Arabidopsis thaliana: one gene and its partner. The protein of the gene in region 1 interacts with the protein of each later gene in a biochemical or structural test. Each region holds a gene or a part of one and is shown on either strand. Other genes may lie near its edges.

Region 1 (4,629 bases):
TAATTAAGACCCCAATAGACGAAACGAAAGCAAGTACCATCATCATATATAATCATGCATATTTATCAAAGTTTTATATTTTATAACAAGAGAGGGAATCCCAAAGCTATCATCATCATCCACATTTACTCTACCATACTTTCGATTCTTTATGCTCTTTTTATAATCTTAATTGTTGTTGAAACTTTTGCTTCTTTATTTTAAATATACGTTTATGGTGCTTATTTAAACAACAAATATGTAATACGTCGAAACAGTTTGTAATATGTGTACGTAATATTAAACTATATCATTTCTTCGAATAATAACACATATCACATATCATATGTTATTTACAAAAATTCTTCATCAAATACATTCATTAACATATATATATATATTTATATATATGACATCTATGATCATATATTTTTATTTTTATCAAAATAGTCATAGTTTCCATATGTATTATTAATAGAGTTTAGTTTACAATATTTCAAAGCCTTAATAAGTAGTTCTTTTACTTTGAAAAAACAAAAATAGACATTTATAATAGAAAAACAGAGAGGTTGGTTAAAATGCTAAAAGTCTCATTTTATTCATACTTTTAGTTTTTTCTTTTTTTTTTGAAAAACCCTATTTATTTGATAACATACATAAATCAACTTTTGGGCAGTGGTGTTACATACCATAGTTCTTCACTTTTTTTGTATAGAGATTTGCTATCTGATTAAATAAAAACGAATAATGCTTGGGTTTAAAATTGTGAATAACAATGATAATGTTTCTAGTTTCCGGCAAAAGTAGCAGGGGAAGAATGATTACGTGAATGATGTAGGACCCAAAACGTTTTGAAATAAATTACTAAATTTTTGACCAAATTGAGTTGTTTAATTTGGAGAGGAGTGTTGGCCCCATCACTCTCTCGTCGACCTCTCCATTGTCTTTATGGAATGAATGATAAAAGAGGACACCTCACGTGGACTCTGCTGCCACAACGACTCTCTCCAACCATATCCCCTTCACATATATGACATATTTTTCTTACATTTACTATATATTAAAGACTCCACATTGTACATTTTTTCATCTCATTTATTAACGCAACGTTCAGATTTTTCCATTTTTAACTAGTCGTGAAAAGTATTTTCGTTGTACGGTGAATATTGTAGCCCTTTTTTACGGTGGGTGTTTTTTTTTTCATTTGATTGATGAGTAAATCTACATCGAGAAAAGAATATAATGAAAGATATACCGAAATCTTTTGATTATGGACAGATTTATTTTGTTTAAACCTTTTTTTTTTTTTACTGTTTTAAAAAGTTGACTAAATGCTTATCTGAGAAAATAATTAACGTGAAAAATAATTTGATATAATTCGGATTAAGTTAACTATAACAGACTGATTTTGATTGAGCAGAAATTAACGTTGAAATATTCACATTGGCTAATTACATCAATTCATTTTTGCGTTGATTAAATGACACTTTCTTTTCTTCAACTATTAAATGATATTCCCATTGTTGACATTTCTCTAAGTATATGATTTTAAGTAATTTTCATAAAGAAGCAATGAACAGTATTTTCATTTGAAAAAAAAAAGATATGTAATGAGATTTTTCTTTTAATTTTTTAATGTTATGTAAAGCTCACCCATATAATTCTCACTCATGATCTTTGTTTCTTTAAGCTTTTCTTCTCCATTGTCTCTCTCTTTCTTATCCTCTCTTTCTCAATCAATTCCTTCAGACTTATACACTTTATTTTTTTTCCCCTCTTGTCGAAAACATCACATATAAATAAAAAACCAAAAACCCTAATTTATAAAATATATATAAAATAGTTATAGCTCCCCACTTATATATGCAAAAGCCAACATCAAGTATCTTAAATGTCATAATGGACGGTGGAGACAGCGTCGGAGGAGGAGGAGGAGATGATCACCACCGTCACCTCCACCATCACCACCGCCCTACTTTCCCTTTTCAACTACTCGGAAAACACGACCCCGACGACAACCATCAACAACAACCTTCCCCTTCCTCCTCCTCCTCTCTATTTTCTCTCCATCAACACCAACAATTATCTCAATCGCAACCTCAATCGCAATCGCAAAAGTCACAACCGCAGACAACGCAAAAAGAGTTATTACAAACGCAAGAGGAATCTGCGGTGGTGGCAGCTAAAAAGCCACCGTTGAAACGAGCGTCGACGAAAGACCGACACACGAAAGTAGACGGAAGAGGGAGGAGAATAAGGATGCCGGCGTTATGTGCAGCTAGGGTTTTTCAGCTAACGCGAGAGCTAGGTCATAAATCCGACGGTGAGACAATAGAGTGGCTTCTTCAACAAGCTGAACCATCTGTAATCGCCGCCACCGGAACCGGAACAATCCCGGCGAATTTCACTTCTTTAAACATCTCTCTCCGTTCTTCAGGCTCTTCCATGTCTCTTCCTTCTCATTTCCGCTCCGCCGCTTCCACTTTTAGCCCTAATAACATATTTTCTCCGGCGATGCTTCAACAACAACAACAACAACAACGTGGTGGTGGTGTTGGGTTTCATCATCCCCATCTACAGGGACGTGCACCTACGTCGTCTTTGTTTCCTGGTATTGATAACTTCACACCAACGACGTCGTTTTTGAACTTTCATAATCCAACAAAGCAAGAAGGAGATCAAGATTCTGAAGAGTTAAACTCGGAGAAGAAAAGAAGAATCCAAACGACGTCGGATTTGCATCAACAACAACAACAACACCAACATGATCAAATCGGAGGATATACACTTCAATCTAGCAACAGTGGATCTACAGCCACCGCAGCCGCCGCGCAACAAATACCGGGAAATTTCTGGATGGTTGCGGCGGCTGCGGCTGCAGGTGGTGGTGGTGGTAATAACAACCAAACAGGTGGTCTTATGACAGCTTCTATTGGTACTGGTGGCGGCGGTGGAGAGCCTGTTTGGACGTTTCCTTCCATTAACACGGCAGCGGCAGCGTTATATAGAAGTGGCGTTTCGGGCGTTCCAAGCGGCGCGGTTTCTAGCGGTTTACATTTTATGAATTTCGCAGCGCCAATGGCATTTCTTACTGGACAACAACAGCTAGCAACAACTAGTAATCATGAGATTAATGAAGATAGTAATAATAATGAAGGAGGAAGAAGTGACGGTGGTGGTGATCATCATAATACACAGAGACATCATCATCATCAACAACAACATCATCATAATATTCTCTCCGGCTTGAACCAGTACGGACGGCAAGTTTCCGGCGACTCTCAAGCTAGTGGATCACTTGGAGGTGGTGATGAGGAGGATCAGCAAGATTAGACACACACAAAAACATTTTAACGGTGGGATTTTCTGCCGACGGCGGTAGCGGTGACGGCGTTCGGCGGCTGTGTAAAACTTTTGTTTTCACCGTTAATTTTTTTTATTTTCTGTAGTAATTTTTTTTGCTAAGTAAAAAAAAAAAAAAAAACACGTGAGATTTTCTTTTTAATTTTGATTTTTTTACTTGATTTTAAATTTGATTTTTCTTGTGAGTGAGTGATTAAATAGTACACGAGATTTTTTATGTCAGGTTTTTTGGATTTTGAGGAGAATATGACACTTTTTTTTATCATTATTGTTTTTAATTGTTTTTTTTCTTCTTCTGATAGTGTCACTGTCGTCTCGATTCTCAATCATCTTCGTTTTCTTTATCCATTAAGAAATTAATTATACATAAAGAAAAATTCTAAAAAGTATTCGTCAAACAATGTTGGTTCCTATAGTAATAATAGTAACATATACATCAAAGTATAATCTTACTGTTTTTTTAGTAACATTACGTTTTTTTAAGTGTTAATACAAAAAAAATTGAGAAACTATTTTATCAAGGAATGAGATGGGCCTCTCTCTATTGGCCCACCAATCTCTGTTATATTTGGCCCTTGAAGTAGTTGTTTCAAAGCTAATAGAAAACAGCAAAGTGTCTCGTTTGTTTTACATGGTCGAACGAAAACGATACAAAAAACATAAAAATATCTCGTTTGATCTTATATGCTATGAAATATATTAAATGCTTTTTTTAGTATATGATTCATTTTATCTCTGTTTCTTTGTCGTTTGTCCCCACTAAACAATCAATCTGATTTTGTATATGATGAGATATCTAATACTATTATATCATGATATTGTTAAAACTGGTTTTGTATATGATGATAATATTATATCAAGACTAGTTTAGACTATGAGAATTAATTAGAAAGTGATATAGTTTGAATGTCGCGTACAAAGTTATGGCTCAAAATTTTGTTTCTTTTTTTTTGACGAAGTACACCAAAAATATTTGATTGTTTCAGTATATTCTTTTTGTGTTTGTATGCCTTTAGAAAGTAATATTAACAATTTGTAAATTGATAGTGTTTAATTAGAACATAATTTACTTTATAAAATCTATTATTATGTTGTGAAAGAAAATATTCACTCAACATCGATCGGTCATATATTCAAGAATCAAGATAAATAATCTGAAGTTTTAAAAATCTGTTTTCGCATGGGTTAAATATAAGTTTTTACAAAAAGGATGAAGACAGAAAACAAATAAAAATAAATGTGAATGCAGACTATATAATATATCATTGAATGTATAAATTATACAAA
Region 2 (6,946 bases), on another chromosome or scaffold:
ATGTTGAATGTCGTTTTTGGCACGAAAATGTTGAATTGCGTTTTGGCGGGAAAATGTTGATTGTCGTTTTTGGCGGGAAAATTTTGAATGTCTTTTTTGGCGGGAAAATGTTGATTTTTTTTTTGGTGGTAAACTGTTAAATCGCGGTTTAGGAGAAAAAAATGTGAAATCTTTTTTGACAAAAAAATGTTGATTCACTTGAAAAATGATTTTAAAAAAAATCGTGGGTACCCATAACCCAATGAGGTAAACCCATATGTGTTTTATTTATTTGGATACCCAGCCCATTTTAAACCTGTGTTTTATTTCCAGAAAAAATAGATCTATGAGCTTAAAATTTTATGTGTGTTTTGGGTACCAGTGGATTTTAACCCATCATTAACATCTCTAGGTACGGTACTCTAGTGGTGGCCTACATTGGTTGATAAAGTCATAAAGTCAATATCGTTTAAACATGCAAATGCAAATTTTATGGACCGGATTAAGTCGGAATGATCCGTATGTTGAGGCTTGAAAGAGCCCATCAATGCAATGGAAAATAGTCGTCTCTTTTCTTTTCCTTTCTTTTCTTTACGATCATAAAGTTCTCTTTTTTTTTGGGTGAATATTGTAAAGGTTTTGAGTCATTCTTTCCAACTCAATTCCACGTTTCTCATCTCTCAAGGCTTTTTACTACAAAAATCTTTACAGATACAAAGTTAGAGATTTATAACAACTTGGATAAGATGTCTCATGCATGAGATAAGAGAAAGTAAATTCTTGTATTTTAGGTGATTAAAGGAATAAAGACATATGCAGCATTTTTGCATCGGCTACTCAAACTCAGCTAAATTCTTCGCTATATATATATACTTTATTTTGTTACAATAATTGTATCAGACTAATACAACTTGATCCATGTGTAGGAAAGTTTCAATAAGATTGATCGTTTTTATGTTACCAAAAATAAAAAAAGATTGATCGTTTAAAAAGTCATTCTTAACAAGAAATAAATACTTGTTGAACTAGAAGTCTAGAACAAATACATTTGTTCAGACATTTTAAATTGTAAGATTAATTACATTCACAAAAAAAATTGTAAGATTAACTGAGGAATATAATGATGTAATAGGAAACTAACGCAAATGCTTAAAATGTTTTAACATTTTCATGATGAAAAATAAGTAAACATCTTTGGGGGTATAGATACTTAAGATAAAATATATAACTTGACAAGAAAAAAGAAAAGATAAGCATTTTCTTTAAATGAGAATTCCCAAAAACAAGCAGCCTTAATAGAAAATAAGTTATGGATCGTCCATACAGAGATCGACTTTAGCAAGTTGATAAAGAAATGGTCAGATCTCAAGGTGGAAACTGTTGCTGAAAAAAGCTAGATTTGATCTGATGCTGTCTTTAACCCAAAATATTAATTTGATCCCAAAAAAAAGGTAATTTAATCGAAAGAAAGAACTTAAACATGACAATAGGTTAGGCTTTTGTTCTGTAAAAATTGGGTGTCTGATTCCACTTTGAAGCCTCTCTTTCACCTTTGCTGCGTCATCACCGGTCACGACCTTCCTATAGATTGATGCCTCAAATTATAAATAACAATATTATTATTGGTCCGTCGTTTGTAATGTCATAAAAGCTTAATTCCCATTATAAAGTTGTCTGTGGTAACGTTGCAAAAGCGCATCTTTATCGTGTATTAGAGTATGACCTTTGTTAATACGCCCATATTATGTATAGTGCAAACATTGTTATACTACTTCTCATGGATTCATGAGTCGGATATTTGAAACCCAAAAACAATTACAAGAATCATACAAATTTTGAAACTAAAGTTTTAGTTAAAAAATAAAATGACATATCTTCAATGTAGCTATAGATTCATTAAAAACTCGGTGAGGGTATGAGACCATAAAAACAAAAACAAGGAAAATTTAACAAAACCAAAGTTTAAAGGCAAATAGTTAGAGCCGATGGAACGAGCGTCTCCATCAAAACCCAAAAAGAAGAATTTTTTTTTGCTTTCGTTTACAAATCTAACTTTTTGGTTTTTCTCCCCAACAAAAAAAAAAAAAATAAAGTGTAAAAAGAGAGAAGCTTAAAAGGTTTCAACTATCTTCCTCCTCCCCACACCGTTGCTTGAAGGATTCTTCCGCCTCAGCAAAAACCAAAAAGACAAAAATATTCTCTTAAAAAAACATCTCTTTCTCTCTGTTCCTTTCCTTTCAGAAGCTAAGCATCTCTTCCTTTTCTTTTTCTCTTTTAATTTTTTTTTGCCCGATCTCTTCTGCAAAGATTCTCTCTTTCTTTCTTCTCTTTTCATTTATGTTTTCATTCTCTAATAACAAATTGTAATGACTTATAACTTCTTCTTCTTCTCCCCTCTTCCTTCTTCTTCCTCCTCCTCTTCTCTTCTTTGCTTCTCTCTCCGGCCGTCGTTTTCGCTTTACTCACACGTTTTCAAGTATATTTAATCACGTGGGGGCCATTTTTCCATCCTCATGGATTCTTCTTCCTCTTCCTCTTCTTCTTCTCCTTCTTCTTCCTACGGTGTTGCTCGTGTCAGCCATATCTCCAATCCTTGCATCTTCGGTGTGTTTTCTTTTCTTACCAAATTCTATTCTTGAGACTAAATATTAAAAGCGTAAACCTAACGTTTTGATGATTACAGGGGAAGTTGGGTCGTCATCTTCGTCAACGTATAGAGATAAGAAATGGAAGTTGATGAAATGGGTGAGTAAACTTTTCAAGAGTGGCTCGAATGGTGGTGGTAGTGGTGCTCACACTAATCATCATCCTCCTCAGTTTCAAGAAGACGAGAATATGGTCTTTCCTCTACCTCCTTCTTCTTTGGTAATTATTTTCTTAATTATACTCGTTTAATTTGAAACATCTTTTCTTTGAAAAAATATTTCTATTTTAATCTACACACAAATACTATAGACATGTGATTTTTCATATTAAAAGCAATATACAGAAGACATGTGAACATACACTACTGTTTTACTTTTTTTTTTTTTGCTCGAGTTGTTTGAAACAAATAACATGGGTCATGTACATTCTGTAAAATTGTCACATCTTTGAATGAGTCGGTCCATTTTGTATTTTATTGTTGTCATGAGTCTCGTTGGGTTTTGATGCTCAAATTGAGATGATGTGACAATGTGGCCTTGAGCACTATTAGGGATAACAAAAATAGGTAGAAAATGGTTTATAAGGTTGGTTCAATAAGGAGTATTTATTAGTGGCCGAAGTTGAGATATTTTCGATTCATTTTCATGTATTATTCGATTAGATTCCAAAGTTACATAATTACTATATTATTATATGCTTTAATTTGATTGTTTATTAAGATTTATTTCTTAATTCTGTATAATCAAAATATTTCAACTTTTAAAAGTTAAAATGAACTACCTAGCTCATTGTGGTTAGGAATATAATTTTAATCCATGAATGAAATAGATAAACTGAGGTGGCCTATTTTGATACCTTTTTTTTTTTGTCAACCTGTTTTGATACCCTTATGCATGGTGGTGGAAAATTATTTTTATCTGAAATATGCTAATTTGTTTCATCAACTATTTTCTTGATGCCATTTCAATATTTTTTTAATGGTCATGTCAACGAATAAACGAATCACAGGATGATCGGTCAAGAGGTGCACGGGACAAAGAAGAACTCGACCGTTCAATTTCACTTTCTCTAGCTGACAACACGAAGCGCCCACATGGTATTTCTATCTACTTTCATGAATTAAAGTATTTGTTAGCAAAAAAAATTGAAGTTGGTTAAAAACGTTATTTCTATTGCATTAGAGAATGAATTTTAATTATGAAATAAATCGTGCAGGGTATGGTTGGTCTATGGATAACAACCGAGATTTTCCAAGGCCTTTTCACGGTGGCTTGAATCCATCATCTTTCATTCCACCTTATGAGCCTTCCTATCAATATAGACGAAGACAAAGGTACAACAAAACACATTCTCATAGTGAAACAAAAAAAAAATATTCCTATCAAAAGTAAAATAAAAATAAGCTGTTTATTGTAGCATTATTTCAAAAATACCTACGTCACGAATTTCCAAATAAACCTTGGTTCGAACTTTTAATCGTGACATTGCAAATTATGGAAACAAACTTAATATTTTCATTTCTTGAAACTTGATTTCATGATCAACTATCGTAGAGAATATAATTTATTTTGCAGCCATTTCCAAGTGCACATTGGTAACGTGGTTTACGTGATTTTTAGCAGAATATGTGGCGGTTGCAATAGCGATATTGGATCGGGGAACTATCTAGGATGCATGGGCACATTCTTTCATCCTGAATGCTTCCGTTGCCATTCTTGTGGTTATGCTATCACTGAGCATGAGGTATACATATATGCACACATATATATATATATAATAATCAATATACTCTTAATTTGTGTTAATGTCCTTCTGAAGTGACTAAGGTTGTGTGTTTTGTCTTCTCTCTTGATTCAAGTTCTCTCTGTCAGGAACCAAACCCTATCATAAGCTTTGTTTCAAAGAGCTTACTCATCCCAAATGCGAAGTTTGTCACCATTTTGTAAGCAACGTTACAATCACCTTGAAATTTTTTTTAAACATCATATATTTTTATATTAGTTCCAATTCCATATTCTCTCCTCAGATACCAACTAATGATGCTGGCTTGATCGAGTATCGATGCCATCCGTTTTGGAACCAAAAGTATTGCCCGTCTCACGAATATGATAAAACTGCTCGTTGTTGTAGCTGCGAACGTTTGGAGGTAATCAAATACAAATAATTTAACTATTGATGATAAGTCCATATCTATTCTTTTTTAGCAAATTAATTGTGTTTTTTTCTTTCTATGTTGTGATCATGTAGTCATGGGATGTGAGATATTACACGTTAGAGGATGGGAGAAGTTTGTGTTTAGAATGTATGGAAACCGCGATAACCGATACTGGAGAATGTCAACCGCTTTACCACGCTATAAGAGACTATTACGAAGGAATGTACATGAAACTTGATCAACAGATTCCTATGCTTCTTGTTCAAAGAGAAGCTCTCAATGATGCTATCGTAGGAGAGAAAAACGTAATATCTTTTAGCTTATACATAACCATTTTTGTTATAGTTTCTCTCAGAATACAATAAGAGTTAATCCTAGATATATCTGTATGTTTCACAGGGATACCATCACATGCCTGAGACAAGAGGTTTATGCTTGTCTGAAGAACAAACAGTTACAAGTGTATGTCTCTTCCTGGAAAGTTACTTGAAATTTTGATTCTAAACAGTAATTTTATTTTGCTCTGTTTTTTATTTTTTGGTTCTTCACAGGTTCTTAGAAGACCGAGACTTGGTGCTCACCGTCTTGTTGGTATGAGAACTCAGCCTCAAAGGCTTACACGCAAATGTGAAGTCACAGCGATTCTAGTTCTTTACGGGCTCCCGCGGTACTACACTACTCACTCAATTCTCAAATTCCCTTTTCGACAGTAAATGACTACTAACCTAATCACTTTTGTGGATGAAGATTACTGACCGGAGCAATTCTCGCCCATGAGCTCATGCATGGATGGCTAAGGCTTAATGGTACATACTGTAAGATTTATTTGGAGGTCACACATGTATTAATCAATCTGTTAAGAGTCATTATTTAATATCAAAACCTAAGTGGTCACCTTAGTATAAAGTAATTTTCAATCACTTTCTTGTCTTACACGAAAAGTAGGAGGAGGGGAAAACTAGGTTTACGGTTGTTCGTTTTTTTTTTTTGTTAGTTAACATTAATATGATTTTGTGTTATATGCTACATCTGTTTTGTTAACTATAACTATCAGCATCTTAAATTCTTTTGATTTCTTGTTTCTATTAGGGTTTAGGAACCTTAACCCTGAGGTAGAGGAAGGAATCTGCCAAGTCCTCTCTTACATGTGGCTTGAATCTGAAGTTCTCTCAGATCCTTCAACAAGAAACTTGCCTTCAACATCATCGGTGGCCACATCATCATCATCATCCTTCTCGAACAAGAAAGGAGGAAAATCAAACGTGGAGAAGAAACTTGGAGAGTTCTTTAAACATCAGATAGCTCATGATGCGTCTCCAGCTTATGGAGGAGGTTTCAGGGCAGCAAATGCAGCGGCTTGTAAGTACGGTCTTCGTCGAACACTCGATCATATCCGCTTAACTGGAACTTTTCCTTTGTGATCAGATTTAATGTTATGTGTCATCTTGCTATATGTTCTTGATTTGGATTTGATGGATCACACAGCGTTTGTGTTAACTTTAAATAGAATCTCAAGACAGACTTTATCTCCCCTTGGATTTTGAATGGGGATATTTGTTGCTTGGAGATTTTATAAGAACAATGACTGAATACTAATAACAAAAAAAAAGGCTTTATTTCCAAAGAAAGACCAAAGAAATTGCTGATGAATGATAATCAATATGTTTCCAAAATCTTAAACTGGAACAAGAAGAAATTACTACTTAAAACCAAGTCATAAAGAGCAGCTCCTTGAACACATTTTGGCATAAACAGTAAAAAAAGAAAACAAGAAAGCGTTAGACATAGGTATCGATCAAAGACTTCCTCATTTCACTACCGACGAAATCAGGCTGAGATTGGACTAGTTTGAAGATATTGTTAACAACAGAGAGCTCTACTGCAGTAGTATCTGACCCACAGAAAGCGGTCCAATCGTTCACAGTCAAACCCGCGGATATAACTTGGCTGCCACGGTTCACGGTTCCTGCAACCAAAGGCACCTGAACAAGATTCGCTAGCTCGACCATTTCTTCCACGTTGGTATTTGAGTGAACCTGTACATCATATTAGCTAGTCAGGTGATTTTCTAGTGAGACAAATGCCACAAAACAAAGACGAACCAAAAGAATGGGTGTTTTTTATATAGTTGTCTACTAACCATTCCACCATTATTGGATAAAGAAC

What was found. Proteins that work in one complex are often made in the same cells at the same time.
Region 2: the proteins of TCP14 (region 1) and DAR2 form a complex in vitro, tested with the Arabidopsis thaliana proteins (one study listed by BioGRID).

Annotation. Positions count from the first base shown.
Region 1 is NC_003074.8:17,557,162-17,561,790, forward strand, and holds TCP14 (TEOSINTE BRANCHED, cycloidea and PCF (TCP) 14), read left to right. Parts: upstream 1-1,631; 5' UTR 1,632-1,842; coding exon 1,843-3,312; 3' UTR 3,313-4,098; downstream 4,099-4,629. UniProt on the Arabidopsis thaliana protein: Transcription factor involved the regulation of plant development. Binds to the Up1 elements (5'-GGCCCAWW-3') in early light-induced proteins (ELIPs, e.g.
Region 2 is NC_003071.7:16,619,205-16,626,150, reverse strand, and holds DAR2 (DA1-related protein 2), read left to right. Parts: upstream 1-2,000; 5' UTR 2,001-2,492; coding exon 2,493-2,583; intron 2,584-2,662; coding exon 2,663-2,844; intron 2,845-3,633; coding exon 3,634-3,721; intron 3,722-3,840; coding exon 3,841-3,958; intron 3,959-4,247; coding exon 4,248-4,368; intron 4,369-4,483; coding exon 4,484-4,567; intron 4,568-4,651; coding exon 4,652-4,771; intron 4,772-4,872; coding exon 4,873-5,085; intron 5,086-5,179; coding exon 5,180-5,242; intron 5,243-5,331; coding exon 5,332-5,447; intron 5,448-5,527; coding exon 5,528-5,595; coding exon of another isoform or gene 5,596-5,654; exon of another isoform or gene 5,655-5,869; coding exon 5,870-6,201; 3' UTR 6,202-6,408; downstream 6,409-6,946. Other genes in the region: eIF6B (Translation initiation factor IF6), read right to left, coding at 6,559-6,816, 6,921-6,946. UniProt on the Arabidopsis thaliana protein: Acts redundantly with DA1 and DAR1 to regulate endoreduplication during leaf development.